7 linked regions of the Macaca fascicularis genome follow. The protein of the gene in region 6 purifies or fractionates together with the protein of the main gene of each other region. This does not show direct contact. Links are inferred from orthologs where the notes say so. Each region holds a gene or a part of one and is shown on either strand. Other genes may lie near its edges.

What was found.
Region 1: the proteins of CSNK1D (region 6) and VPS13B purify together in Homo sapiens (affinity purification with mass spectrometry; 3 studies listed by BioGRID and IntAct, counting the BioPlex papers as one, with this or other methods). This does not show direct contact. The link is inferred for Macaca fascicularis from reciprocal best matches to the Homo sapiens genes CSNK1D and VPS13B.
Region 2: the proteins of CSNK1D (region 6) and ANKRD49 purify together in Homo sapiens (affinity purification with mass spectrometry; 3 studies listed by BioGRID and IntAct, counting the BioPlex papers as one, with this or other methods). This does not show direct contact. The link is inferred for Macaca fascicularis from reciprocal best matches to the Homo sapiens genes CSNK1D and ANKRD49.
Region 3: the proteins of CSNK1D (region 6) and FAM83H purify together in Homo sapiens (co-immunoprecipitation; 5 studies listed by BioGRID and IntAct, counting the BioPlex papers as one, with this or other methods). This does not show direct contact. The link is inferred for Macaca fascicularis from reciprocal best matches to the Homo sapiens genes CSNK1D and FAM83H.
Region 4: the proteins of CSNK1D (region 6) and GAPVD1 purify together in Homo sapiens (affinity purification with mass spectrometry; 5 studies listed by BioGRID and IntAct, counting the BioPlex papers as one, with this or other methods). This does not show direct contact. The link is inferred for Macaca fascicularis from reciprocal best matches to the Homo sapiens genes CSNK1D and GAPVD1.
Region 5: the proteins of CSNK1D (region 6) and CRY2 purify together in Homo sapiens (affinity purification with mass spectrometry; 3 studies listed by BioGRID and IntAct, counting the BioPlex papers as one, with this or other methods). This does not show direct contact. The link is inferred for Macaca fascicularis from reciprocal best matches to the Homo sapiens genes CSNK1D and CRY2.
Region 7: the proteins of CSNK1D (region 6) and CRY1 purify together in Homo sapiens (affinity purification with mass spectrometry; 3 studies listed by BioGRID and IntAct, counting the BioPlex papers as one, with this or other methods). This does not show direct contact. The link is inferred for Macaca fascicularis from reciprocal best matches to the Homo sapiens genes CSNK1D and CRY1.

Annotation. Positions count from the first base shown.
Region 1 is NC_088382.1:109,439,662-109,443,709, reverse strand, and holds part of VPS13B (intermembrane lipid transfer protein VPS13B), read right to left. Parts: intron 3,508-4,048; coding exon 3,244-3,507; intron 2,598-3,243; coding exon 2,514-2,597; intron 2,336-2,513; coding exon 2,160-2,335; intron 1,655-2,159; coding exon 1,484-1,654; intron 1,146-1,483; coding exon 944-1,145; intron 1-943. UniProt on the Homo sapiens protein: Mediates the transfer of lipids between membranes at organelle contact sites. Binds phosphatidylinositol 3-phosphate. Functions as a tethering factor in the slow endocytic recycling pathway, to assist traffic between early and recycling endosomes.
Region 2 is NC_088388.1:93,486,989-93,490,945, reverse strand, and holds the end of ANKRD49 (ankyrin repeat domain-containing protein 49), read right to left. Parts: intron 3,782-3,957; 5' UTR 3,694-3,781; coding exon 3,436-3,693; intron 2,324-3,435; coding exon 1,862-2,323; 3' UTR 801-1,861; downstream 1-800. UniProt on the Homo sapiens protein: Induces HBG1 expression. May have a role in spermatogenesis where it promotes autophagy in response to serum starvation, via the NF-kappaB pathway.
Region 3 is NC_088382.1:153,387,236-153,390,997, reverse strand, and holds part of FAM83H (protein FAM83H), read left to right. Parts: intron 1-365; 5' UTR 366-380; coding exon 381-827; intron 828-1,638; coding exon 1,639-1,803; intron 1,804-1,870; coding exon 1,871-1,995; intron 1,996-2,191; coding exon 2,192-3,762. UniProt on the Homo sapiens protein: May play a major role in the structural organization and calcification of developing enamel. May play a role in keratin cytoskeleton disassembly by recruiting CSNK1A1 to keratin filaments. Thereby, it may regulate epithelial cell migration.
Region 4 is NC_088389.1:18,794,973-18,799,606, reverse strand, and holds the start of GAPVD1 (GTPase-activating protein and VPS9 domain-containing protein 1), read left to right. Parts: upstream 1-1,686; 5' UTR 1,687-1,818; intron 1,819-4,634. UniProt on the Homo sapiens protein: Acts both as a GTPase-activating protein (GAP) and a guanine nucleotide exchange factor (GEF), and participates in various processes such as endocytosis, insulin receptor internalization or LC2A4/GLUT4 trafficking.
Region 5 is NC_088388.1:19,990,982-19,995,029, forward strand, and holds part of CRY2 (cryptochrome-2), read right to left. Parts: intron 3,805-4,048; coding exon 3,493-3,804; intron 3,258-3,492; coding exon 3,106-3,257; intron 2,981-3,105; coding exon 2,778-2,980; intron 2,468-2,777; coding exon 2,375-2,467; intron 1,220-2,374; coding exon 1,080-1,219; 3' UTR 1,078-1,079; intron 1-1,077. UniProt on the Homo sapiens protein: Transcriptional repressor which forms a core component of the circadian clock.
Region 6 is NC_088390.1:88,701,434-88,706,103, forward strand, and holds the start of CSNK1D (casein kinase I), read right to left. Parts: upstream 3,095-4,670; 5' UTR 3,039-3,094; coding exon 2,963-3,038; intron 1-2,962. UniProt on the Homo sapiens protein: Essential serine/threonine-protein kinase that regulates diverse cellular growth and survival processes including Wnt signaling, DNA repair and circadian rhythms. It can phosphorylate a large number of proteins.
Region 7 is NC_088385.1:113,901,015-113,905,062, forward strand, and holds part of CRY1 (cryptochrome-1), read right to left. Parts: intron 1,534-4,048; coding exon 1,391-1,533; intron 1-1,390.

The sequences.
Region 1 (4,048 bases), on a different chromosome or scaffold from region 6:
TGTACTCACAATGGAATTCATATTTACGGGAGGGAGGGGAAAACCAAACCCAAACAGTGACTACCCTGTAAATACCAAAGGCTTTAAAAACTGAAGGTTTCATCTCATTTGACAAGAGAATAATATCTAACATTAGGTCCACATAGGTCAACATTCCAATTCCATAAGGTAACATCATCTGATTTTACAAAAAAAGAAAAAATGCAATTGAATAAAGATGTTTATGACCTGGAGCTCAAAAAAGGATTCTGAAATTGTTCTCTATCAGAAAGACATTGTATTTAGGAGTTCCTTTTACTCTATTTTTTTTTTTTTTTTTATAGATTTGTGTGTCTTCTTGAAACAGACTAGCCTTATGAAGAAGGTTTTGTGACAGCATATAAAATCTTCCTGTGATATTTTGGTTCGCAATTAGGTTTCTCTCTGTGTCAGTAATCATTCCATATTGTTATAATCAACAACTGGGTAGACATCCATAATTATGAACATCCAAGTCCACTTATAAAGGAAAAGGGGCCCTGACAAAAACAGTTGCTCTGAAATCCTCAGTATCTTGCAGACTGCAGAGAATTTCCTGAAGAACAGCAAAGAATACCTAGGGTATGGATAAGCACACATGATGGCTATATTTCCTTAATATATACTGATAGACCAGCCCGAATACTTGTCAAATATCCTATGCCAATGGAATGAGAATGTAACTAATCCAAGTTATCGAATTTAATGGTAACTCAAGCACCAATAGTGTTGATGGTTTTCAAAAAAAAAAAAAAGACATCAGAAAAGTCCTTGAATATTCAAAGACCATTCCATACCTCTTACATATGCATCTAAGAAGAATTTTTCACAACTGATTCATTCTGTGAAGATCATAAACACAACTTTACAATAAAATCTACTTGTTGAGAGATAAGAATTCATATTAATTAAAAAAGTTTAGTACCTGAAAATTAGGAGGAATAATAATTTTGCCAGCAGGAACCTGTAGAACAATGTTCTCTCCTTCAAATAGCCAGAGGTCCCATTTGGACTCATTGATAAGCAGGGCCCAGGGCAGAAGTTCTATCAACAAAGTTCTAACATATGGCTTCCAGATTGACAGCTTCACTCGCATTGGGCTATCCCACTGACTTAGCTGTTCATTCCTGTTCCAAACACCACATCCAAGAGACTCAATGAAATATGATAACTTTAATATTTGTGAAATATGTTTAAAGATTCCAAACACACCATGTTCCTGCATGATACCTCCTCATACCAGAATCTTTCAATTCTAAATTTGCATGCAGGAGAAAGCAACTTTTCATGCAATTATGATCTAGATCATGAATAAAGAAATCTACAAAATACACCTACTAGATGATAAAAGGTAAGAATCTGACACATACATGCACACACCACTTACGGTATTTAATATTTTTGTGAATGATCATTTGTTAATATTGAGAAATTTTTGTAGAAAAAGATCACTGAAGAATGTTACCTGTCAGAATCCTTCTTATTATAGGGCCATATGGGTTGAAGCAACTTTTCTGGCCCATAGAATTCGTCAAGGATCTGATTAACTGTGCCTCTAGGGTGTACCTTAGTGGCTATTTGCTTAATGAGGGATGTTGAGATGGGAACTGCACAATCTGAAGGATCATATTCTTCTCTAGGAAATCGAAAGAAAAACCAAGAATAAATATCAGATTTCTAAAGTGGTCTACAATTTATTGAAAAATATCTAACTACACATGTATTACAGACCAACACCTTTTTGGTAGATAGAGTCCATTTATGGGACAGTGTGTGGATGATCTGGGCCCTGGCTTTTCCTCTTTCTTCCCCCACCCCTCAATTCCTGGGTGTTGATCTCTATTCACATCTTCTTTCACTACAGAAGTCATGTGTCAATGAAATAGAAATTAAAATTTCTGATGATTCCTCTTGATTATATCTATGCTTAATGAGAAAGGCTGATTTTTATCTAAAACTACAGATGAGAATAAGAGGTCACTAGGCAGGGCAATTTTAAAATAACATTCTCATAAGATAAGAAATCATACAAAAAACTCCCTCCACCCCATCTTCCCACCCACCTCCTACCCTCCCCAGTGCAAGGTTACTTTTCTACTTAATTTCTCTTAGGAAAATGTAGGGAAGGATTTTTCTAGTACCTTGCTTGGAATGTCAGGTGATGTACAAGGTCAGGTTCTATGTTTTGCAGTGGTTTTTCCTGCCCTTTTCCTGGAATAATTTGTGTTTCACTCAATCCCAGACTCCTTTTCTCCAAATGTATGATAATGGGGTCTGGAAGATGACTCTTCATGATAAAAAGAGGGCTGAACACAATCTATAAAAATAAAAGGACAGAACAACTTTCATATTTGCTTTGTTGCAGTATTCCAGCTGTTTGATGCTGAAACAAACTTGCAATAAATCTCTTCCCTAGGTCACTCTGACCTTAATTTATTTCAGAACAGGAAAGGTCAGAGTCATATACCATATTTTAGGATTGGGAAAGCACTCACCATTCGTTGTTGCACTTGAGAGTTGGGTTCTAAAGTCAAAACTGTGCACCAGACATAAATAATGGAACTGTTTGAAGATGGCACCTGCACATGAAATAGAAACGGGTCCTATTGAGTACTAAGCAGTTTACTAATTAATCAAAATAAGGCACAGATATATCCGTTTGGAAGATTAAAAAGAGTTTAAAGTTATAGAGAAAAAGCCATTATTTAAAAAAAACTAAGCAAAAACAGACTTCATTATGGCATAAAGCAAATGTGCAGTGAGTCGACGGGGCCAACTCTTTCCATAAAGACAAAGAGATTGCATAAGGAGAGATATAAGACTGACTGGCAAAATGAAAGAGAATTTATCCTTTATGGGAATGAAAGTGATGATGGTAAAGACTGAGGAAGAGATAAAGTAACAGACCATCACAAAAATCCTTAAGTGAGGAGGATACCACCCCCAGTCCCACCCTACCCCTAACCCTGGGGCAGCAGGATCTTTTTCAAGATATCACTTGCATCTGGGAGGGACAGAGTCTTGGCTGTAAGAACTACTGGAACTGATACAAATGTATTGTCATGGGATGGGGAGTAAACAGTTTGAGAAGTACTATTCAAAGCCTTTCTCCCCCCTTTTTTATATATCACTTTTTAATAAATTAAGTGCTATACAAGTAAAGAACATTTTGAGAAAATTTCAATGTTAAAGCTGCTCTACTCTAGATTGAAGTTCTTTTCAAACCTGAATGACAATGCTGTATTCAGGGGCTTTGGATTCCAGGCGCACATCTCTTGACCAGTCTTCATCTCCTTTGGCCTTCACACACAGCTCTGTCAGTTCATTGTTTTCTAGTATATATGAAGGCAGTTTCTGTTTGGCTGTGAGGCAGTCAAAATGTTCCCGAACTACAGCTTGTCCATCTTGACCAATGTAATGCTGAACGACTTTTAGTTCTATGCTTTGAGACAAGTAACTACAGATGATCTGTCTTCCACAGATGATAATCTAAAAGACAGTAAGTACATAAGTCTTCATCAATTCAGACTTCATTAACTGGAAATATGTTCTCGATCAAACAAAATAAACTATGTTGATGTTAATGGAAAGAAAATGAAGTAATTAGCTTAAACAGTACAAGAAGGAAAAAAAACTTGAAGTCAAGAAGAAATTTTGCTTTGGCCATGTTGAGTTTGCTATTTAAAGGACAGACTCCTCCATGGAGTCCAGTACTCAATTGAAATGCTGGTCAGGTGCTGGCCAGAGACAATGTGGCGGTGGAGATAATGATTTGTGAAAGGAAAACCTTGCAAACATGCATGAACAGAAGATAGTTTACCTGAAAGAGAGGGTAGAAGCTCAAACCCAGAAACTGACCAATACTCCAGGGGCAGACTCAGGGTGAGGAGCTAGAAAATGGGGCCAGAGAAGAAGGGGTGAAGGAGAATAGAGGTGAATCGGGGACAGTAGTTTTGCTGAAGCCATAAGAGAAGTGCCTGCCCAGGAGGTGGCAGTGAATCTTGTCAAGTGATGTACAAATGGAAAAGAC
Region 2 (3,957 bases), on a different chromosome or scaffold from region 6:
CCTCAGGGGTGGGATTTGTCTTATATGTAGAATTTGCTCTCTAGCATCAGTGAGTGTTGAGGTCTGAAAACAAGGGAGTAGACACATCTTAGGTCCTTATTGGAAACAAGACTTCTTTGGCTTCATACTTAAATGGAAAGTTTACATGGAAAATCATGGGTGCAATCCATTCTCAAATGAGAAAGGAGCCATCAGTTCTGTGACTTTCAGGCTAAGCAGCCTCATTCAGCAGTCTGCTTGGATAAATAAGGTCTTATTCTATCATCACTGCCTGTCAGCTGTACCTGTCATTTGGTGTCACTAACTTAGGCCAGATCAAACAGAAAGCAACCTCTTTCTGCCACAAAGCATCTCCCTAGGCAGAGCTCACAACATAAACTAAAGCACTAACTCTCAAGAGCCTGTTGCCACGATGATTCAGTTCATGTATTATCTCTGACTTTTCTGAGATCATCTAATAAGTTCTAACCAAAAATAAATATTTAATATTTCATTAAATAACATTATTACTTAGTCTAGGGTGACTGGGTTACATAGGATGGCTTGAAAGAGATAAGCCTTGGTGGACATTTAAAAAATTTAACTGAAGTAAAGAGCAATTGGTTTAGTTCTCTTCCCCTAGAGTGTTCTCATGTTGAGAAGACAAAACTCTGGGAACAATCACAGAGGGGCTAGGTACACAATGCAAAATTGCTGCTGGAGAAACTGAGAGAGTAGATATTAAATAACTAAGTGCACGCTGGATGAATAATGTTCTGGATCCAAGAAAGACATACACAGGTAAAAAATGAATTCATGCCTTTTGTGTTGTTGAAAACTTCTACTTTATTTTTCTCAAATATTTTTACTTATGCTTTTTGTCATTATCCACAGTGTTTTTTTTTTTTTTTAAGCCTGAGCCACTTTGTGGTTTTAGCCTCAATATAATCATCATCCCCTTACTCTTAGACTAATTCCTTTTCCCTTGTCACTTAGGCTTTGTATAGTTTGTAAAAATGAGGACCTTAGAAAATCAACATTTCCTGTGAACTTGAGAGACTATATGAGCAGCGCCCCAATCAGTAGGATTAGGCATGTAAAACCAGTTGGATAGCAGATATATTATGATCTGTTGGACAAAGGTATAGTTGTGTGCATGTCTACAAGGTCATTGTGATTTGCCATTAGCATAAGGATCATGTAGGTTGACCAGGGTGAGGTAGGACTATCCACAGGATTGTGTAAATTGTGGTAGGGGAGGCAGTATACAATATTCATGAATTAAACACCTCGCTAACTGCTTTCCTGAAAATGGTCTGTGTTCTAAAAGACAAAGATCTAGCTTTTTTGCTGTTTTTTTCTTTAACTTATGAAGATGCAAGCCACTAATACGTTACTTGCTCTAGTTTAAAGTGAAAGCAACTGGCTATGGTAAGGTAGAGAAGACAGCTAAATTGTATCAGAATATTTAAGACTTCTAAATTAAGTTCTGAGTTACCTCACCTTATAAAAATATATGTCAATATACTAAGTACTCAACAAAGATCCAGGATGTGGGATATTTAAAAATACATCTCTCTTGGATCAGCACCAAAAATATCAGTTTCTGTACAACCCGTGTCAAGTTTTTAAGTATACACACATTAAAATTAGTTCTGATAAAAAATCACGAACTCCACAGAAATCATTAAATATATATGCAAATTACTTTTAAATACATTCTGACATCAAAGTCAGGCAATTCACTTGGAAGAATGTTATAATGAATATCACTGAATTTTTGTAGTAAGATGTTTGACGTCAACTTTGATTATGGGAATACTTTATATCTCACACAAAGGAGGCACTGGTACTTAGAAACTTAAGAAAATTACTAGAATTGTTAAGACTGAGGTGAAGAATTTGTACAGCCTTCCACAATTTCAAAGAGGTAGTGATAGATACTTGTCCTCCTGGCAATATCACATGCAGTTTCTTCCAGGTTGTTTTTCAGCCCTGGTTTGACGTAACGGTTCATCAAGAGGAGTTCTAGGGTATCCTTGCTGTCTCTGTTTCCAGCAGCAAGATGCAAGGGGGTCAAGAGGCCTTTTGTTTGGGCATTGATATCTGCATCATGCTGCAGTAAGAAAGAAGCCACTCTGGTATTATTCCACTTACAAGCACTGTGCAGGGGCGTCCAGCCATCCACAGTCACTGCATGAACGTCTGCCCCCTGTGCAATGAGCTCCCGGACAATATCTAAGTGTCCACTGTAGGCTGCGCGATGAAGAGGGGTATACTCATCTTCATCCCTAGTGTTCACATGAGTGGCCTTTTCAGAAAGTAGTCTCCGCACTGTAGTCAGCTGAGAAGAAAAATGGAAATCTTTCAACTCAACTCAAACCAAAACAATAACCAAAACAAAATTTTCTTGTGGTGTTAGATTTAATTAGGTTGAATAAAAACTTGTTAGCAGATGACTTTAAAATGAAAATAATTTAAGATCTCTTTTTTGGGAGGAGAGGACTACTGGTGTGAGAATGAACAAGTTAGTGTTAACTATACTTTGTTGCTTCTAAGAATGAGATTCTCTGAATATCAAACCATACCCTTACTCCTGGTCCAGCTAAGGTTCATTGCATAAAAGCTTCAGTCCAATGAATATCATAGGTTTTAATTGTATTTAATATTTTATATGTTATCTGTGAAGAAAACATAACTGCTTGATTTTTCTATTGGATTATCACACCAATATATACACTGTATGAAACTTTTAAAAATAAAACTTTTAACAAAAGAATAAAGTATTAATAGGGAATTCTAGGGATTTAAGAGCTCAATTCCTTCTCAATACAACCTTAGAAACATCCTTTAAGGTTGTAATTTTTAGTTTGTTCTATGGGCCTCTGGTTAAATGTGGCATGCTCTTGGGTTAAAAAGCTATTTAAAATGCAAGACCCTTTTAGTTATTAGTTTACTAAAACAGACATGGGGAAACTTAGTAAAATTAGGTGGAAGTGGCCAAGCAGAGGGAATAGGCTTTTGATGTTCATTCCACTTGGATGATCCTGGGCAAATTAATATTCCTGAATCTCAATTTCTTACTCTATAAAAGAGAAGAGTATTACTTATAGAGATACATGAGGATTAAATAATGTAATAAGGTACCTGGTATAGTTAGTATTTAATAAATGTTAGTTTCCATCCTCTTTCCTAAATGATCCTAATGACTTTATATAAATGATTTTAAAATATAGATGATTGCTTGCTATCTTTCTAGATAATTATCCTTAAACCCCCAAATAATACCTAGCATGACACTTTGCAGCTTAATATGTGCTTTCATGTACATTGTCTCATTTGGTCCTCACAATCAAGAGATAGGTATGACGGCCATAACAGTAAAGGCAGGCCTTCTGGCTTGAACCCAGTGCTATTCCTACTGTCACACTTCCTTCTGTAATCTTTTTTTTTTACCCGATTTTTTTCAGCAGCCCAAAGAAGCAATTTGCTTGGGTCTTTTTCCATTTTTTTTTCTTGCAATCGATACCACTCTTCATTTTTGTCATCTTGCTCCTCATCTTCATCAGAATTGCCTACCCAAAGACTTTGAGTACCAGTAGGAATAAGGTGTCCATGTGTTTCCAACAATTCAAGTTGGTTAAAGTGTTCAGAAAAATCCAAGGAATTCTCTTGGTCTGGTATTCCATCATCATTTCCTTTTTCTTTTTCCATTTTTACTACTATTCTAAATAAAAAGCATTTCAAATGCCAGGGTATAATCTTCCTAGAGATAAATTATGACTGCTTTATTCATCAAGACCTGAAAACACAAATACAAAAGTTATTAGTAAAACAATAATTCAGGCTTTATCAACTGCATAGATAAGTCTCGCAAACATATACAATTAAACCCTGTGTAAACTCTTGTTTTTCTTACGGTATTCCTTACATACACTAAATACTGGTGCTGACAGAAAACAACGAAAGAAAGAAGCG
Region 3 (3,762 bases), on a different chromosome or scaffold from region 6:
GCCACCATGCCTGCCTGATGTTTAAAATTTTTTGTAGAGATGGGGTCTTGCTGTGTTGCTCAGGCTGGTTTCAAACTCTTGGCTTCAAGCGGTTATCCTGCCTCAGCCTCCCAGAGGAAGGAGAGACAAGGCTGGGATACCTGTGCCCCACCCTCTACCAGTATCCCCTCAGCTTGGGGTGTCCCTCAGTCTGGGTTGCCCTCTGTGAGCCTGGCTCAGCTGGTGTCCTGGAAGGCCTCCTGGGCATGGGCTAAACTTCAGCCTACCCAAGTCACTGACAGCCCCTTCCACAGTGTGTCCATTCTAGAGGGTAGGAGTGGTCCCAGTGCCCCCACCCCTAGTCATGTGTCTCCCTGCCCCTCCAGACCCCCGGCCCCAACATGGCCCGTCGCTCCCAGAGCTCCTCGCAGGGGGACAACCCACTGGCACCCGGGTACCTGCCGCCTCACTACAAAGAGTACTACCGCCTGGCGGTGGATGCACTGGCCGAGGGTGGCTCGGAGGCCTACAGCCGCTTCCTGGCGACTGAGGGGGCACCAGACTTCCTGTGCCCTGAAGAGCTGGAACATGTGAGCCGACACCTTCGGCCTCCACAGTATGTTACCCGAGAGCCACCCGAAGGCAGCCTTCTCGACGTGGACATGGATGGCTCCTCAGGTACATACTGGCCAGTGAACTCAGACCAGGCCGTGCCTGAGCTTGACCTGGGCTGGCCTCTGACCTTCGGCTTCCAGGGCACCGAGGTGACCACCTTGGTGCAGCCACCGCCCCCCGACAGCCCCAGCATCAAGGATGAGGCCCGCAGGATGATCCGTTCCGCCCAGCAGGTGCGCCATCTTGGGCTCAAGGGTAGTGGGGAGGGGCCAGGGCTAGAGGCACCAGGGTGGAGGAGACGCATGAGCACGATCAGCTTGGGTGAACCCTGAGCTCCAGCTGGAGCGGGGGTTCCTGGCAACAATCTTCAGGGCCGCCAGGTCTCGATCATCAGGGGCTACAGGCTCTGCACGGGTCTGCTTGCCCATGGTCATGGCCAGTGCCCAGAAATTCAGGGGCTCTGAGATGGGTGGGCACCGCCCCAGCCTGGGTTGATTGTTCAGATAATTACCTCTCATCCTGCCCGGTGGCCCTTGGCCAGCTGAGGGCTTCTAACCCTCACCAAACAGCTAGCAGACGGTGCAGGGTGCATCAGGTCCAGACGCTAAAGGCCCGTGACTTTCTCCCCTGCCCATGGCAGCAACCCTGTCCCAGGGCAGAACTGGAGCCTGGGACTCAGCCCTGACAGCTGTCCTGGAGTGGGGGCAGCTCAGCCGTCTGTAGGGTGGAGGGGATTTTGAGGTGCCCTTGCCATGCCCCCAGCGGGGCCCCATACCCCAACCTGGCCCACCCTCGTCCAGGGTTCTCTGCCCTGCACCTGCCTCGGCTCCCTCCTCATGGCCAGCCACTCCACACCTCTTCTCCTTCTGGTCCTTCTCCTTCCTCCTACCCATCTTCCAGACGCGGCCCCACTCCCAGGGATGGACTAGCTTGTTTCACAGTGGTTGTGGGTGATCCAGACGCCTCCTGGGCGTGGTGGGGAGGCTGGACAATAGTGTGGGGACAGCAGGGGCCTCTCCTCTCTGTCCTGACCCGCCCCTGCAGGTGGTGGCCGTGGTGATGGACATGTTCACTGATGTGGACCTGCTCAGCGAAGTGCTGGAGGCCGCCGCCCGTCGGGTCCCAGTCTACATCCTGCTGGATGAGATGAACGCGCAGCACTTCCTGGACATGGCCGACAAGTGCCGTGTCAACCTGCACCACGTGGATGTGAGTTCCCGGGAGTGGGAGATTGGGGAGGACCCGCGGCAGAGATCTGACTCCCCTCCCTCCCCAGTTCCTGCGGGTACGGACTGTGGCGGGCCCCACCTACTACTGCCGCACTGGGAAGTCCTTCAAGGGCCACGTCAAGGAGAAGTTCCTGCTGGTGGACTGTGCCGTGGTGATGAGTGGGAGCTACAGGTGCGCCCGCGAGCTTCCCTCACCCCCTTCTCTGGGGCCTCCTCCTGTAGCCCCAGCACCCCCTTTCCACACCAGGGCCCTCCTTGCCAGGAGCCCTTGTCCTGTATCCCTGCGTCCTCCCCGCCCCACCCGATGCCCACGGGGCTGCAGTGCCCTCGCTCCAGCTCAGTTTGACTCTGGCCCTGACCCCCCACAGCTTCATGTGGTCCTTTGAGAAGATCCACCGCAGCCTGGCACACGTGTTCCAAGGAGAGCTGGTCTCCAGCTTCGATGAGGAGTTCCGCATCCTCTTCGCGCAGTCCGAGCCGCTTGTGCCCTCGGCCGCGGCCCTGGCCCGCATGGATGCCTATGCCCTGGCTCCGTATGCCGGGGCCGGGCCCCTTGTGGGCGTCCCTGGGGTCGGGGCGCCAACCCCTTTCTCCTTCCCGAAACGAGCGCACCTCCTGTTCCCGCCACCCCGGGAAGAGGGCCTGGGCTTCCCCTCCTTCCTCGACCCGGACCGCCACTTCCTGTCGGCCTTCCGCCGGGAGGAGCCTCCGCGGATGCCGGGGGGCGCGCTGGAGCCGCACGCGGGCCTGCGGCCGCTCTCGCGGCGCCTGGAGGCCGAGGCCGGGCCGGCTGGGGAGCTCGCGGGCGCGCGGGGCTTCTTCCAGGCGCGGCACCTGGAGATGGACGCCTTCAAGCGGCACAGCTTCGCGACCGAGGGCGCAGGCGCCGTGGAGAACTTCGCGGCCGCGCGGCAGGTGTCGCGGCAGACGTTCCTCAGCCACGGCGACGACTTCCGCTTCCAGACCAGCCACTTCCACCGCGACCAGCTCTACCAGCAGCAGTACCAGTGGGACCCGCAGCTCGCGCCGGCGCGCCCGCAGGGCCTGTTCGAGAAGCTTCGCGGGGGCCGCGCGGGTTTCGCGGACCCGGATGACTTCACGTTGGGCGCCGGGCCCCGCTTCCCGGAGCTCGGACCCGACGGGCACCAGCGGCTGGACTACGTGCCGTCCAGCGCGTCCCGCGAGGTGCGCCACGGCTCGGACCCCGCCTTCGGGCCCGGACCCCGCGGCCTGGAGCCCAGCGGGGCCCCGCGCCCCAACCTGACCCAGCGCTTCCCATGCCAGGCCGCGGCGAGGCCCGGCCCAGACTCCACTCCCGAGGCGGAGCCGGAGCGCAGAGGCGGGCCCGAGGGGCGGGCCGGGCTGCGGCGCTGGCGCCTGGCCTCCTACTTGAGCGGATGCCATGGCGAGGATGGGGGCGACGACGGCCTGCCGGCGCCCATGGAAGCGGAGGCTTACGAAGACGACGTGTTGCCTCCCGGGGGCCGGGCAGCTGCCGGCGACCTGCTCCCCTCGGCCTTCCGCGTCCCTGCAGCCTTCCCCACGAAGGTCCCGGTGCCAGGCTCGGGCAGCGGCGGCGGCAACGGCCCAGAGCGCGAGGGCCCGGAGGAGCCCGGCCTGGCCAAGCAGGACTCGTTCCGCTCGCGCCTGAACCCCCTGGTCCAGCGCAGCTCCAGGCTGCGCTCCTCGCTTATCTTCAGCACATCACAGGCTGAGGGTACGGCCGGGACTGCGGCGGCCACAGAGAAGGTGCAGCTGCTGCGCAAGGAGCAGACGGTCAGCGAGACGCTGGGGCCCGGCGGAGAGGCCGTGCGCTCCGCGGCTTCCACCAAGGTGGCGGAGCTGCTGGAGAAGTACAAAGGCCCAGCCCGTGATTCCGGCGGCGGCGTGGGCGCCATCACCGTTGCCAACCACAGCAAGACCGTCGTGTCACAGGCAT
Region 4 (4,634 bases), on a different chromosome or scaffold from region 6:
GTCATAAAACAAGGCAATAAATATGAAGCAATTATGTCAATGTTGTTGTTTTGTTTTGAGACAGGTTTCACTCTGTTGTCCAGGTTGGAGTTCAGTGGCATGATCACAGCTCACTGCAGCCTTGACCTCTTTGGGCTTGGTGATCTTCCCACTTCAGCCTCCCTAGTAGCTGGGACTACAGGTGCACGCCACCATGGCTGTCTAATTTTTGTATTGTTTTTGTAGAGATGGGGTTTCACTATGTTGCCCAGGCTGATCTTGAACTTCTAGGCTCAAGCAATCCTCCTGTCTTGGCCTCGCAAAGTGCTGGGATTACAGGCATGTGCCACCATGCCCCTAAAGGGGACACATCAAGGGAGGTGAGTAGATGGAAAGCAGTTTGATTTGAAATAGCTGGGGAAATGATTATTACTTTTTTCCTTTTTTTGCCGGGAGACTCCCGGTGTTGGTGGATATAATCACTGTTTTCAATTTTTTGAAGAGCTGTCAAGTGGAAGACATTCTGTATTGCTCCAGGCAGCATAACTACCAGCAATGGAAGGAAATAAAGGGAAACAGATTTCAGCTCAGCAGGAGGCAGAACTTTCTAAGATTTAGAGCTGTCCAACAGTGGAGCAGGCTGCATTACTTGAGGGAGTGAGCTCCCTGAAATTTGAACTGTTGAACAAGATGACCATCTGGCTGAATGTACAAGAGGGAATTCCTGCCTGGGCGGCAGTTGCACTAGTGACCTTTAACGAGGTATCTTCCAATTCTAAGGTTTCTAGACTGTTTAACTCAGCTAACTTGACCTCTGAGTTATGCTGTTAAAAAAATTATTAGACAGCTCATCTATTGACTTAAATAACTGCATGGTCAAGTTTACGATAAGATTTTAGAAACTGAGAAGTGGGAAAGCAGGTTTAATACTTAAAATCCAGATACCATCCAAACCAATTAATTAATGGCACTTTGAACAAAAGGGAAGGGAGGGGCCGGGAGCGGTGGCTCACGCCTGTAATCCCAGCACTTTGGGAGGGTGAGGTGGGTGGATCACGAGGTCAGGAGATCGAGACCATCCTCGCTAACACGGTGAAACCCAGTCTCTACTAAAAATCAAAAAATTAGCTGGGCGTGGTGGCGGGTGCCGGTAGTCCCAGAGACTCGGGAGACTGAGGCAGGAGAATGGCGTGAACCCGGGAGGCGGAGCTTGCAGTGAGCCGAGATCGCACCACTGCACTCCAGCCTGGGCGACAGAGCGAGACTCCGTCTCTAAAAAAAAAAAAAAAAAAAAAAAAAAAAAAAGAAGGGAGGTTTGTGAGTGGTGTGTGCGTGTGTGTGAGAGAGAAAGAGAGAGACACGAGAGAAAGAGAGAGTCATTCTTTCGAATAATGTGTCCTGGGCAACTGAGCGTTGTCACAGAAAGCATAAAACGCTCTACAGTTTTGCTTTACACATACTTGCTCAGTCGGATTCTTCACTTCCAGCATTACTGCAGGCGGAAACCAGGGCTCAGGCCTGGTAAACAACCTTCCGGAAGACGATTCTGGACCCGGACACCCACTACCGCCTCAGCGGGCAGCTGACCTAGGGCTGCCTAAGGAGGAAGTGGGAGCCCCCGGCCTCCCGGGCGGAACTACCGCTCCCAGGGGCGCCCGCGGCGCCGCGCACGCGCGCTGGCGTGGCGGCAGCGCCGCTGCAGGACGTAGGGAAGCCAACAGGCGAGTGGCGAAGGTGGCGGCAGCGGCGGCGGGGGCAGTCACCGGCGAGGGCGACGGCTCCGAGGCCGAGTGGCGGTCCGGCAGAGTCCTCCGTGTCTTCATCCGCATGAGCCCCTTGGTGAGCGCGCGTCCCGATTTAGCCCGCGCGCGGTGCGCCGCTCCCTGCCTCGCGGCCGGCTTGCTCCGGCCTAGGGCCGCAGCCTGCCTCTGACGGCCGGGCCGTCCGGTCCAACTGACCCCGGGGTCCCGGGACCTTCCCGTCAGTGTCGGGCGAGGTGGGGGTTGGGGGACACTGGGTTAGGCCCAGGGGAGAAATGTGGCGGCGCGCAGGAGCCAGGGCGGCCTGGGGCTAAGGAGAGGGAGAGGCGCGTGGGGGATGGGATGGGAAGGGACTGGGGGACCGCCGAGCGGTCTCGGGTGGGGGCCAGAGACTAGAGGCCCGGCAGGTAGGGAACTGAGTACAGGAGGCGAGAACGAAATGGAATGTCTTTTGAGTGTCGCTGATAAAGATGTCGTGCTGCGGGGAAGCTTGACAAGCTGGACACATGGGTCTAGGGGCAGCCCACCTACCACAGACACTCACCATACTTGGCATCTTTCCTCTTGCTGTCGGAGGTCTGAAAGTGAGGTAGCTGTTGGTTATTTCCATCCCTTTCAACTTCACCTTTTATTGACTGGCAAAATTGTAATGGGTGCTGGCTAGGTAAACCACAGAAGTACACACAGGGTTCTGTGTATAAATGTGCATAAAAACAGGGAGACATAGTGATAGGTTCAGATGAGAACTAGGTCAAAGGAGGAATCAGTGTTTTTATTTTTAAATTTATGACGAAAATAAGTTCTGAGCAGGACTTTGAACTAGAGAGGGGTTTTAAACTGGAGTTCATTGACGGATAGAATTAGAAGGGTCCTTTCACTAGGATGATAAAATGACATCATTATTTTTATTGACTGCTATCTGAAACTTATTATTTCCTTCAGTTGTGAATGTGGACAACAAGCCAGAGTAGAATTAGCAACGCTTATGACTTTGTCATCAATAAAAATTACGGATATTTTTGTATCATATTTACAGTTGCAGACAGCTCAGAATATCATTTATGGTTATCACTTCTTTGAATTTCTGGTGTTACTAGACCCGCCGTTAAGACCTTGTTATTTAATGTGATAATAAGGCTGTACATATATTATTACCATATTAGTTTGTTAAGTTGTGTTGCTAATATTTCTGTATAATTGGCTTCCCTTGCAATCACATGTATTTAATTATGCATTTAAAAGAAATCTGAGAACGGGACCATAGGCTTCACCAGACTGCCAATGAGGTCCATGCACAAAAAGATTAAGAACTCCTGAAATACTATAGGGGGCTGAGGCGGGCGGATCACTGAGGTCAAGAGATGGAGACCACCCTGGCCAACATGGTGAAACCCATCTCTACTAAAAATACAAAAATTAGTTGGGTGTGGTGGCCTGTGCCTGTAGTCCCAGCTACTCGGGAGGCTGAGGCAAGAGAATCGCTTGAGCCTGGTAGGTGGAGGTTGCAGTGAGCTGAGATCACGCCACTGCACTCCAGCCTGTCGACAGAGTGAGACTCCGTCTCAAAAAACAACAACAACAAAAAAAACCCTCCTGAAATAGAAGTAAGTTTTTTTGAATCTATAAGTCTACTTAGAAGAACATCTGAGTCATTAAAGTCAGACAGGATGACAGTGTAGACGAAAGAGAATTTCATAATCAGGGAGATAAAAGATTTGGATGGGATCAGAGTAGCCTTTTTTTTTTTTGGTTTTGAGATGGAGTCTGGCTCTGTTGCCCAGGCTGGAGTGCAGTGGCGTGATCTCCGCTCACTGCAACCTCAGCCTCCCGGGTTCAAGTGATTCTCGTGCCTCAGCTTCCTGAGTAGCTGGGACTACAGGCACCCACCACCACGCCCAGATAATTTTTATATTTTTAGTAGAGGCAAAGTTTCACCATGTTGGTAAGGCTGGTCTCAAAGTCCTGACCTCAGGTGATCTGCCTGCCTCGGACTCCCAGAGTGCTGGGATTACTGATGTGAGCCGCCGCATCCTGCCCAGAGTAGTCATTTTGAAAGAACAGACCATAAATGTTTCATTCAGGGTAATGGGGAGTGAACAAAATAATTGGAAGAAGAAAGGGAAGTGAATATGTTGGCCTTTAATTTTTGTATTAAGGCACCTCCCCAGTTCCAAGTGATTGCAGCTCTGTAAGCTCTGATGTTCTGATGTAACCCTGTGAAAAGAAATTTTACTGTTTGCTGGTTTTCTTTAAATCATGGAGGTGGAATTTTGTTTTTTTGGGACGGAGTTTCACTCTTGTTGGCCAGGCTGGAGTGCAATGATGTGATCTCGGCTCACTGCAACCTCTGCCTCCTGGGTTCAAGCAATTCTCATGCTTCAGCCTCCTGAGTAGCTGGGATTACAGGAGCGCGCCACCACGCCCAGCTAATTTTTGTATTTTTAGTAGAGATGGGGTTTTGCCATGTTGACCAGTCTGGTCTCAAACTCCTGACTTTGTGATCTGCTCACCTCGGCCTCCCAAAGTGCTGGGATTACGGGCGTGAGCCACCGTGCCTGGCCCTAATTTTTCTATCTTTAAATGAAAAACAGGAGAATCTCTCTTGAAATATATTTTTTGGGCCAGGCATGGTGCTCATGCCTGTAATCCCAGCACTTTGGGAAGCCGAGGTGGGTGGATCACCTGAGGTCAGGAGTTCGAGACCAGTCTGGCCAACATGGTGAAACCCTGTCTCTACTAAAAATACAAAAATTATCTGAACGTAGTGGCAGGCACCTGTAATCCCAGCTACTTAGGAGGCCGAGGCAGGAGAATTGCTTGAACCCAGGTGGCGGATGTTGCAGTGAGCCGAGATTGTGCCATTGCACCCCGGCCTGGGCTACAAGAGCAAAACTC
Region 5 (4,048 bases), on a different chromosome or scaffold from region 6:
CAGATGGCTGCAGCCTGGCCCCTGAAGAAAGAGGGATCTGATAAAAAGAACCTATCAGCTCCATGGAGAAAAGTCACCCTCCATGACGAAGACACGGTGCATAAGGAACAGCCTGAGACGATGACTCAGAGGGGACAGGAAATTACATTTCCCCAAGAGGGGCATAAAAGGCCCTTCCTGCTCTGGGAAAGGAGAAGCCAGTGTTTTGACGACATTCGGGAGGCTTCCAAGATGAGCGCTGCCAGGGAGGTGCAGAGCTGAGGCCACAGGACGGGTGAGAAGGGAGGAGAGGCCGTAAAAGCAAAGATGATGACAGATTGCGTCTACTGGTCCTCAGGCAGGGCTGGACCGAGTGAGACACAGCACAGCCCTCTGTCCAGGCTTCTCAAGGTCAGTGCTGCCCTCCACTGGCTGGCCTACAGAACACAGCCTGTCGGAGAGCAGGGGGCCTGGAGCAGCCTCAGACCCTGCAATGGGCCTTTTCCCCACTGCTTCACACACAGGTCTCAGCTTTCTTTTTGTTGAGCATGACTCACTTTAATAGGTAGAAAGTGCCACCCCTCGCCCCCATGCCTCCCTTTTTCCCTTAGCTAGCAAAAAAAAAAAAAAAAAAAAAAAAAAACAGAAAAGGGCTTGACTTTTAAATCTCTGATAAAAGTCAGAATGGTGGGATTTTTGAGCTGAAATCCTAAAAGTCATGCAGTCCCACCAGATTATTATTATTGTTTTTAGAGATGGAGTCTCACTATGTTGGTTTGGCCAGGTTGGTCTTGAACTCCTGGCCTCAAGCGATCCTCCCACTTTGGCCTCCCAAGGTGCTAGTAATCCTAGCACGAGCCACCACAGCAGGCCCAATGGTAAGGGTCACACGGATATGATCCAGAAAGTACTCATTCCCTAAGCCAGGATTGAACCCGGCTGCCACTGTAAAATGGTAAAGCTTTAGTGGCTGAGCATTGGGTGGTCCCACCAGATTTTCATCTAGTTTGTTATGTTTTAACCTTCAGCTGGCAGGGCAGTAGGCACCCCCGCTCCCACCTTCCTTCCTGAGGTTGAATCTAGACTGCTGTCACTCACTCTCAGGCATCCTTGCTTGGCAGCTCTGGGGTTGGCAACTCTGCCACCTTGGCCCGTTTGCTGAGTTCTTCACCAGGTGGTTCCTCAGCTGCTTCCAGCTTGCGTTTGGGGGATGCTGGGCCACTGGGTAGTGGTCTTGGGCCTGTAGGGAAGCGTGTCAAAGGGTCACACAGACTGTGCATGCAGCCAAACTGACCCCACACTATGCAGCAGCGGTCTTTAGGGGACAGGTAGCACACTCATCAATGGAATGCCAGCATGCTGCTCCTCAGACTTGCCCCTCGGCCTTGCTTTCAGCAGTGACTTTGCCTGGAAATGTGCAAGGAGAACATGACCGAGCAGGCCTGCTGGTAGCAGGGCCAGCTTTTGGGCCCCAAATGGCATGGGCTATGGGCCAGAGACTGACTTGGCCTGCCTGCTGTCCTTGCTTTGAAGGTGAGGCATTCCCTCTGCAACCCTGAATCAGCCTCCCTGAGCAGCAAAGAGCAGGGCCCCTGAGAAGGAGGCATGCTGCCCATGGAGGCAGCCTAGCTGGCCCAACTAGAAAAACCCGTGTTCGTGCCATCTCATGTTACTCATCTTCATCCCCAAGAAGGGAGGAGGCTCCAAATGCAGCAAATCTGTCCAGTCGTTCTCTGTGTGGCCACCACCCTGTCTGTGCTGCCTCCTCTTTGGCCTCCCTATGCCCGCTCTGGCCTACACTGTCCAATCTCTACCCAGCAGGCCAGGGAGTTTTTTCAGACCTAAGTCCAATGATGCCCTGCCCTACTGACCATCCTTCAGTGCACTGAAGGCTGAATCCTAGTCCTCGTCTTGGATATCGGGCCTGCCACATGCTGCTCATGCTGTATCTTGTCCTCATTTCCCCAGCTCCTCACTGGGACATGCCGCCACACTGACCTCCCTTCGGTTCCTTGAATGGGCTAAGCTTGGTACTGCTTATGAGCTTTTTCTTGCTACTCCTTCTGTCTGGAATGGTATTTTCTCAGTGTGTGGCAGGCCTGGCTACTGCTCATGACGTGGGTCTCTGCTTACAGAGGTGTTCCCCGACTACTCCAATCTCAAGTGACACAGAAGAAACTTTTCTTTCCCAGTCCCTCTGTCAAGGCACTTGACTTTCTTTTCCTCCAAAGCACTGGTTATCTGAAATGATCCGACTTGGTTCCTTTACTATCTGACTGCCCTGGGTGGAATATAAGCTCCATTGGGCAAGGCCTCCTTCTGGCCTCAGTCCTGAATGACTGAAGTGCTGGCACAGGCCACAGGAGGCCATTGGAGGTGGGCTGCTGCTGCTCACCTGCACTGTTCACGCTCCCAGCCTGGCTCGAGCTGGGCTCTGCCACAGGGTGACTGAGGTCTTCCACACAGGAAGGGACCGATGCCAGTAGACCTGGGAGAGAGGCGGGGAGTAATCAGAGTGCCATCCCGCAGGATTGCAGGGGGTTACAGGGAAGGACGAAGCAAGCTGGGGTGGGGAGGATAGGAGCAAGACACTGAGGTTCCATTTCTTCTCACTGCCCCACAACTACTCAGGGAGGCCCAGTCCATCCCAGCCTGCAGTGTCCCATACCCAGAGAAGGTGTCAACCTGAAAGACAGCACTCAGCCTCCCTTTGCAGGTATCTGGCCATCCCCATCTGGCACCCCCGAGCCTGCAGGTGCTGTCCTTCCCTTCAGTGAGCTAGGTGTTTGTGTCCTTACAGAGTCCCCGGTAACGCGAGAGCTGCTGGTAAATCTGCTTCATTCGTTCAATGTTCAGCCGGCTGGTCTCGGCATGGTTGACGATGGGCCGTGGGTAGTCCACACCAATGATGCACTTGGCTGCCTTCTGAATTGACTCTGGGGCATTCCAGGGTTCATAGATGTATCGAGAGGGGAACCCTTTCAATTTTGGCAGGTATCGCCTGAAATAAGACACACCAGATGACCCATCAGCATACCTAGACCCTCCTTCAAAGGGCCCTGGGTATCCCATCCTAGTAGGAGGCCACAGTGGTCAGAAGCCAGAGAGCGTGGTCTGCATCCTCACCTGATGTAGTCTCCACTGGGGTCCGTACGACGGCCGAAGCCCACAGGGCAGTAGCAGTGGAAGAACTGCTGGAAGAAAGCACTGCAGGACAGCCACATCCAGCTGCCTGCGTTCACGCTGAAATCTGCATCCAGGAGCAGCTCATCAAATACCTAGATAGGGGAGAGGATGATCAGCCTCCTTGGGGATCTGCTGCCATGTTTTTTCCCAAGTCACCACAGTGCCCCCAGGAGCCAGAGCCCTTCTGCTGAAGGCAAGCCACAGAGGATCTGGAGGGGATCTCCTGGACCCAGAAATCCCACCCCATCCCTCAGCCCAGAAGGGGGCTGCCCTTTGCTGGTCCTGACCAGAGGGTATAGGCCAGCTTTTCGCTGAGAGAGCACTCACCCGGACCCCGCTCTCCCAGCTGACCCAGAGGTCCCCGCGGGTCAGGAAGCAGGCCACGGCGTGCCGGGCCAGGTGGTGGATCCAGCCCTCCTGCCTCAGTTGAGTCATGATGGCATCGATCCAAGGGAAGCCTGTCTTGCCCTCGGCCCACTTGGCCAGGGCCTCAGGATTGCGGTCCCAGGGAATCTGGATGCAGATGGGGTTCCCCTCCATGCGGTCAAACCTGGGGTTGTTGGTAGCTGCCGTGTAGAAGAACTCTCGCCACAGGAGTTGCCCAAATAGGGAGAGGGGAGGTGTGCTGTTCCGCTTCACCTGAGGGGTAGGGGTTGCACATGGATACGAACACTCACCCAGCTCTTAGCATGATGCCTCTCAGGTCTCTTCTACAAAGGAATCTGGGCCCTCCACAGACCTGGCGCTCAACTCCCAGATGTGGAGGGACTATCCCCTAGAAGTGGCACAGTGTGCCTGCAGGTGCAACACCCAGGCCCTGCCTGCATTGTGCCACTGCTCTGAGCAAGAGGAAAGCTACAGAGGGCCGGGCAGCAGGAAGGGG
Region 6 (4,670 bases):
CCCCCCGCCTTCCCGGGCTCAAACACCGGAAAGCACAGAAAGTCCCCAGTGGAAAAACAAAAACCCAAAAGCCAGGCTCAAAGCAAGGTGAACCCCACCTGGAGGACACCACAGTGACAACAGTAGGAATGGTCTTAATGATAGTCACACTAGAATACACACGACACGCAGAGGTCAAGACGAAGACCTAGTTCCTCAATTTATGTCTAACTGGCTGCACAAACAAAACTATGGTGGGGATGACCAACCCATCTCAAGGTCTTCACATCAGCCATCTTTGACTCTAACTGCCATTCTGCTGAGACCCACGCTTCTTCCAAACTGCCTTACTCCGGCTAACGTGACCACCTCGCCTTTCATTTCCTCAGAGGGGTCATCTGAAAGGACCACAGTGTGGCCAGGAGCCAATGCTGACGGAAAAAAAAAAAAAAATTCAGCTGTGCCCAACCCTACTCAAGTAACTGGACGTGTACCCTGATAGATGGCTGTCTGGGGGGGTCCAACCCCAGGGAGTCAGAGCCACAGCCGCCTGCAATCCCGTATCCAACATGACTGTATGCCCAGTGAGAGGTGAGGCCTGGAGGGTAGAACGCTGAGTGAGGAGACAGCCTTCCACCCTCCACCTCTGGAATCACTTGGTGACAACCACACCAAAATTTGTCTGACTCTATCTTTGGAAAGCACAAAAGTTGTTTGACAAGGTCTCAGAGAAGAGAAGAAATAGTTTCAAAGTACTTCTTTCTTTTTTTTTTTTTTAGACAGAGTCTCACTCCATCACCCAGGCTGGAGTGCAGTGGTATGATCTTGGCTCACTGTAACCTCCGCCTCCCAGGTTCAAGTGATTCTCATGCCTCAGCCTCCCAAGTAGCTGGAATTACAGGCAGCCACCACCACGCCTGGCCAATTTTTGTATTTTTAGTAGAGACAGAGTTTCGCCACTTTGGCCAGGCTGGTCTCGAACTCCTGACCTCAAGTGATCCGCTCGCCTTGGCCTCCCAAAGTGCTGGGATTACAGGCGTGAGCCACCACGCCTGGCCCAAAATACTTCTCTTTGATGCCTGCCTAAAGGTGGTTAATGGACTGGCTTTGCAGTGTAACTCAGATCCTGGGATTAAAACTTTCGCCAAAATCTACTGTTCTATAAATAAGCCAAACGACTTCCATTTACCAAGCACCCTGACTTCCAAAACACTGCCAAGAACACATCCAGCTGACCACCTGGTATAAATGTTTAAACAGTCAAACCCAAATGTCTAAGGCCTGCTTACTCAGCAGGCCATTAAGGCATATGTACAGGTTCAAAAGCAACAACATGGCATATGACGGGGTTACCCGGCAGATTAACCAGGCACCCGAAGTATGAGCCACCCATATGTATGGATTCAGCCTAACGCTGTCAGCCCACCGGGTCCTGAGTTCTCTCTCTGGTGAAAAATGGGAAGGGAATGAGAACTGGGTACTGTCCACATGTGGGTTCATCTAAACGGTATGACCAGAGGCATTACTGACATCCCTTGGGATTCCTGACCCTGGCTGACAAATGCCCCAAAAGCTAGGGCTGCTGGAACAGAAAACAGCTCCCCTCAAAGGTCTGCAGCAGCCCCTCTGCAGGCACACCGCCTCAGGCTACATATCCTCAAATGCAAGGGGTCTTGGAATAACTCGTGCACCGCACAATCCCACTGACAAGTGCAGAAAATTGTTACTTTAAAATTACAAACTTCCGCCAGGCGCAGTGGCTTCCCAGCACTTTGGGAGGCCGAAGTGGGCGGATCACTTGAGATCGGGCGGGCGTTGGAGACCAGCCTGACCAACATGAAGAAACCCCGTCTCTACTAAATATACAAAATTAGCCCGGCGTGGTAGCGCATGCCTGTAATCTCAGCTACTAGGGAGGCTGAGGCAGGAGAATCGCTTGAACCTGGGAGGCCAAGATCGCGCCATTGCCCTCCAACCTGGGCAACAAGAGCGAAACTCCGTTTCAAAAAAGGAAAAAAAAAAAAATTACAAACTTGAAGATTTAAGCCAACCTTTCATTACACTTGTGTTCATGTGCATATTTTTCCATTGTAAATATGACACACCCCAGAACGTTCTAATCCCATGTTTTTTGAAATCTACCGTGAGACTGTTATAGTCTAAAGGACAGCTCATGAGTACAACTACTTCATCTGCCTCTCACTTCGCCAGCATCTTAACCCTGGGTGACTTTCTCTACCGTCACCTAAACTTAACCCTTGCTCATCTGCACTCAGTCACCGCTCCAAGGCCAAGGGGCACAGGCGAGAGAGAACCCCCAGCGGTCAGTCATCAGGGCGGCTGCGAGGCGGAGGGCAAGCTCCGCTCCTAGCCGGGCCACTCCCCCACTCCCACAAGGCATTTGGGTCTTTCTGACATTTTCCCCCACGCGTGCAAGACGCAGGGGCAGCCTCTGTGGGGGGAACCAGACAGCCCCGGACCGGGCTGCGGAAGAAAGACCGTGGCCTTTGTTTACTGCGGTGACCTTAGGCGTGGAGGAAGCCGACGCCCGCTCCGCCGCCCCGGCCTTGCCCCCTCCCCGCCCGCGGCCCGCTGCCCCCACCCCCGCCCTGCCCCTCCCCCAGGCCCGCCTCCCCACGCCCCACCCAGCCCTTCCCGGGTCCGCTCCCCACGACCCTGCCCCTACCCGGGTCAGCGCCCCCGAGCCCATGCCCCACCCCGGGTCAGCTCCCCTGTCCCCTCCTCCCTCCAGACCCTGCTCCCCCGACCTGGCCCTGCCCCTCCCCCACGTCCGCTCCCCACTGCCCTCCCCACCCCTGGCCGCGCACGCCTAGTGGCCGTTGGGTTCTGGCCACGACCCGGCGGCGCCCCGACTTGCACGCAGACCCCGCGGGGGCCGCCACTTCCTTCCGCGGTCGCGATTGGTCTTGGCAGCCGCCGGGCCCGGGTCCTCGAACGGCGGGCGGGGGCGGCGGGGCCTCACCGAGATAGATGTCTCCGAAGGAGCCGCTGCCGATCTTCCGGCCCAGCCGGTACCTGTTCCCGACTCTCAGCTCCATGGCGGCGGCGGCGGCGGCCCGGTTCGCTCCTGCCCTCCCGGCCGCTTCCTGGGTCTGAACTCCGGGAGGCGGCGCCGCTGCTGCCGCTACTGCGGGTCCGGCTGCCGGCTCCGCCCCCCTCACGGCCCCGCTTTCACCATCGCTTTCCTGTCACCCCGCCGCTCCCAGCGCCTCAATACGGGGCGGATGGGACAGTCCGAGCGCCGCCGCCGCTGCTCCGGCCCCTGCCGACCCCGCTTGCCCTCTCCCCGCCGCGGATGGACTCGGATCTTCCGGGCCTAAATCCCCCTTCAGCTGCCTAAAGGAGCCGCCGCCATCGCGCTGTGACGTCACTTCCCCTAGCAACCCGGTGGGGCGGGGCCGCGGCGCTTCGGGGGCGGGGCCTGGCCCTCGGGGGCGGGGCCGGGCGGGGCGAGCGCTCCAGGCCTCCTCCCAACTCTGCGCAGGGCCAAGCCCTTCTGCCCCGCACCGTCCCGTTACCCCTGGACCTCGGGCCGCCAGCCCCTTCCACCTGCAGTCTCCCGCTGCTCTCGCGGGGGCTTTTCGTGTGTCCCCCGAGATGTCGAGGAAGCCAGATGAGTTCCTCGCGACAGGCGGTGCCTTTTGCAGGAGGGGACAGGTAGCTGAGGCCTGGACAGATTGACAGGCCAGGCTCAGGGGACACAGGGGAGACCCCCTCACTGGGCTACCAGTTCCCGGGCTTGGGGCATCCCAGGACGTCAGCGTCTGCAGCCTTACCTCCTGACACCTAAGGCCAGAGACAGAGCGGGCCCACGCCTTCGGAGGTCCTGATGTCCAACTTGGAGGTCAAGGGCAAAGCCACCACCTTTCACAATACGAGGCCAGACCACCTGCCTCCCGCCAGTCCCTGCGGCCTGGAGACCGAGTCAACATTCTTATCTGTGTTGGTTCTGAATGTTCCTCCTTGCAAAAGAAAACAAGGAGTGGACGTTCAGGCTGATGGCCAGCTTCAAAGATTGGGGCCTTTGATTCCCATCGCTGGGAAGAAAGCCCTTCAGACAAGCCCCCTGGGCTGCGGTGCATGGGGACCTTGAAGAACCCGTACCCATGGTCCCACGTCCATGTATGTTGAGACCTGTCACATCCTCGCTGAAACTCAAGAACGTGAAACAGGTGAATGTGTGTTTTGAGGCAGTAGCATACCAGGGCTCTGGTGTGGGCACCACAGCGTGAGTGAGACAACAGCCTCAGCCCGTCCAGGTCACTGCAGAAGAGGAAAGCAGCCCCCGCAGGCCCCGCAGTGGTGCCCGCCTTTCTCCACCCCCAAGTCCTTCCTCTCCACCCCTCAGCTCCAAACAGCCGGAGGTCGGGTGGGGGAGGCAGGTGTCCATTCCTGAAGTCACACAGCAGGGCCTGGAGACAGGAGATGCCACCGGCCAGACCACCGTCAGTCACTAATGAGGCACAGGCAGTCGGAACTGCCCAGTTTCTGAGTTACAGGAGCCTGGGGTGGGGGCTGCCAGACTAGTAGAACTGACCTTATTGGCAGGATCGCTCATGGCTTTTCTGTTGATGAACAGAGCCCAGTTCTCCCGCGGTGACTGTGATCCTTCTTCCTGGGGAGTCCTGCTCTCCCTGACCAGGGGCACCTGCCCACCTGTCAGCTGCTCC
Region 7 (4,048 bases), on a different chromosome or scaffold from region 6:
TTCTATATGTTACATTTTAATATGATAGATTACATATAGTAAATATTCACATTCAATCCAATAAACACTTAATTTTTCTTTTTTGAGATGGAGTCTTGCTCTGTTGCCCAGGCTGGAATGCAGTGGCACTATCTTGGCTCACTGCAACCTCTGCTTCCTGGGTTCAAGTGATTCTCCTACCTCAGCCTCCCAAATAGCTGGGATTACAGGCCCCTGCCACCACATCCAGCTAATTTTTGTATTTTTAGTAGAGATGGGGTTTCACCATTTTGGCCAGGCTGGTCTTGAACTCCTGACCTCGTGATCCACCTGCCTCAGCCTCCCAAAGTGCTAGGATTACAGGCATGAGTTATCACGCCTGGCCTAAACACTTAATTTTATGCATAACACTGAGTCTCCCACCTAGAAGCAACTGTTTTTATCCTGTTTTGCCCCCTCCTTGCTATGAGCTCCCTAAAGTTAAGCAAATTGGTGAGCTCTAAGGCAAGATTATTATCAAAAGATACATGAATTCTAGCTTAGCATCAAGTAAGACCTTTGTCTGAATCAAATCATGATTTTTTGATACATTTAAAATGTGAAATCAAATCAACTAGTTTGTCATGTTACAGAATTTGTTTTACTAACTTGATAAAATCTATAAATTACTAAAAAAGTAAAATGATTTAAAAGGTAAATAAATTATAAGATTTCAGTACTTAAAAGGACAATGGTATGCCAAAAGTTTAAAAAGTTAACAAGTTTTATAGACCTCTAAGACTCATAGCATACAATACTCCCTAAATTTAAGTTCGACCACAGAATTTCTGTGGGACAAAGCATCACCAAGGACTGGTGTCTGAAGAAATACACTTTGAGAAATATTCTATTATGCTATTGTTCAGAGGACTACAGCTATGCAATGTTATATTACATCCAATTTGTATCTGGATTTAAAATCCAGATAGACAAGATAGATATACATGAAATAAGATAACATTAAACAAGCATACAAAATATGTCAAGGCAATTTATAACTATGTATAACTATAAAATTGATAATGCTAAGAGCCCAGAAAGGCAAGACCACAGGAGGCTGAGTTAAGAGTAGTCAAGGAAAATTCTGTAACAGTCTTAATCCATAATAGTTTTGAAATAGAAATGCTGAGACCTGTCATTAGGTCAATAGCGGCTAAATAAAATGCTAAGGATTTGACATATGTTCACTTAATTCTCCCAAAACTCTATGAAGTACACGCTATCATTTCTACTTCATAAACCTCAGTTAAAAACTTATCTATGTAGTTAATATCACTGAACTATATACTTAAAAATGGTTAAGATGGTAAATATTATGTTACATGCATTTTCTCACAGTAAAAAAAAAAAAAAAAAAAAAAAAAGAACTCACTTGTCTAGGTCATACAATGTATGTGAAATTCTTACAATGACTTCTACTCCAGCTTCAGTTGCCAGTTTCTTAATAGCTGCATCTCGTTCCTTTCCAAAGGGCTCAGAATCATACTCAATTGAAAGTTTAGTAATGTTCCATTCCTAAAGTAACAGAAGGGGGAACAATGTACACCAATTTTAATAGTTATTTTTTCTATCATAACAAAAAGTGAAAAAGCTGAAAATCTACATATCAAATGATTATACATAAATCAAACTTTGAATATGCAGGAAAAAGTAAACAATTTATCAATTAAAAAATACGTAAGTAACAAATGCATAACCCATTAGATTCCAGGCTTTATGCTAGGCAACAGACAATCTAGCAAAGCAATATGCTTAAAACCAGCTCTTACACTAAATGTGTTTGTAGAACACTTTACTTTTTCAAATTACTCATACTTACATTATTTCATTCGAGCCTCAAAACAACACTCAGAGTTTGGCACTGTGGTTAGTATTTCCATTTTGGTTTATTTTTAAAACTTAGGGATTTGCCAGAGTTCACAGAGAGCCAGACCACCTGAATTTATGTCTGTTGAGTCTAAGACCTGATCTTTGACAAACTTTTGATAGTTGATATGGTATAAGCTGCCTGGCTGAGGTCGTGTGTGAGTGTGTGTGTGTGTGTGTGTGTGTGTGTGTGTAAATATTTTCTTTCTGATTACTAAAAAATGTTAACTGAAAAATTTGGAGATGGTAATAATAATAGCAGTTACTTATTATCAGGAGCTATATTAGTAAGTTCTGTACATCTCTTTACACTGATTTTAAATGAGGAAACTGTGACTTAAAGGAATTAGTTGATTTTTCTTAAGCATAATTTTTTTTTTTTAAATTCTAAGTCTATTCTGATTTATCTCATAAAGAAAAAGTTCTACCATTGTTTAACTGCCTATATGGTAACATACTATATAATTCACCAAACACCTCCTGATTAGACAAGGGCTGTTTCAATGGTGGGTTAAAAAAGACTGCTATTCTAGGCTGGGTGCGGTGGCTCAAAACTGTAATCCTAGCACTTTGGGAGGCTGAGGTGGGTGGATCACCTGAGGTCAGGAGTTCAAGACCAGTCTGGCCAACATGGTGAAACCCTATCTCTACTAAAAATAAAAACATTAGCTGGGTGTGGTGGCACATGCCTGTAATCTCCCAGCTACTGGGCAGGCTGAGGAAGTAGAATCACTTGAACCAGGAGGTGGAGGTCTCAGTGAGCTGAGATTGTGCCACCGCACTCCAACATGAGCGACAGGAGTGAGGCTCCATCTCAAAAAAAAAAAAAAATTGCTATTATAAACTTTACAGTATATATCTTTACCTTTATGCATACATCTTACAAATTTTAGGGTATTTATCCAATTTTTTCCTAGAAATAATCCCTTGGAAAACAACTGATAGATCAAAGATAAGCACATTCAAAATTCTGATAGGCTGTCAAATTAGGTACCCGAAAGACTGTACAAATTTACATTCCCATCAGCAGTGCACCTAAGTGCTTGATCTCCACACACTTGCCAATAATATGTATTAGCAATCATTTTTTGTTTTGTTTTTTGTTTTTTAAGATGACGTCTCACTTTGTCACTCAGGCGGAAGTGCAGTGGCATGATCTCGGCTCACTGCAACCTCCGCCTCCCAGGTTCAAGCCTGCCTCAGCCTCCTGAGTAGCTGGGATTAAAGGCACACACCACCACAACTAGCTAATTTTTATATTTTCAGTAGAGATGGCGTTTCGCTACGTTGGCCAGGCTGGTTTCAAACTCCTGATCTCCATCTACCTCGGCCTCCCAAAGTGCAGGAATTACAGGCGTGAGCCACCATGCCCAGCCAGTAATTGTTTTTAAATGTCTGCTAAACTACTAGGAAAAAAAATAGTATCTCATTAAAAATTTTTTCCGTTCTTAAAAGTCCTGAAGAGTGCACATCAAGAAATTAAGGGCTGTTGACTTTCAGGAATAAAATTTGAGTGTGTAAATAACTTTTACATTCTGCAGCATTGCTCAGATTTGTTAGTATAAACTTTCTATTTTTGAAATTTAAAAATAAAATTAAGATGAGAATAGAAAAGCATTCTATTTATTTGTTTTATAGTGAGGTAGTATAGAATAGTTTAAAAACACAGGATCTAATAAGTTAGACTTCCTAAGTTGAAAGACTGGCTCAACTACTTAGGCAAGCTGCTAAACTCTCCATGCCTGTTTCCTAGTCTATAAAATGGGTAGAATAAGTAAGGTGCAGAGACAGTGCCTGACACATAATAAACCCTATGTAAGTATATGCTACAGTAAAGTGAAAACATTAACCATATTATTGGGTTGCTAAAGAATTACATAACATAACGCACATAAAGTGTTTAGAACAGAGCACAGTGCATAGCAAGCCCTCAATGAATGACAGCAATTCTTTTTCTTTTCTTCTTTTTTTTTTTTAATGAGTTAGAGTCCCACTCTGTTGCCCAAGCTGGAATGCAATGGTGCAAATCATAGCTCATTGCAACCTCAGACTCCTGGACTTGAGCAGTTCTCCCACCTCAACCTCCCGAGTGGCAAGGACTACAGGCATGCACCACTATACCCAGCTAACTTAATTTTTTTTTGTAAAGACAGGGTCTCACTAT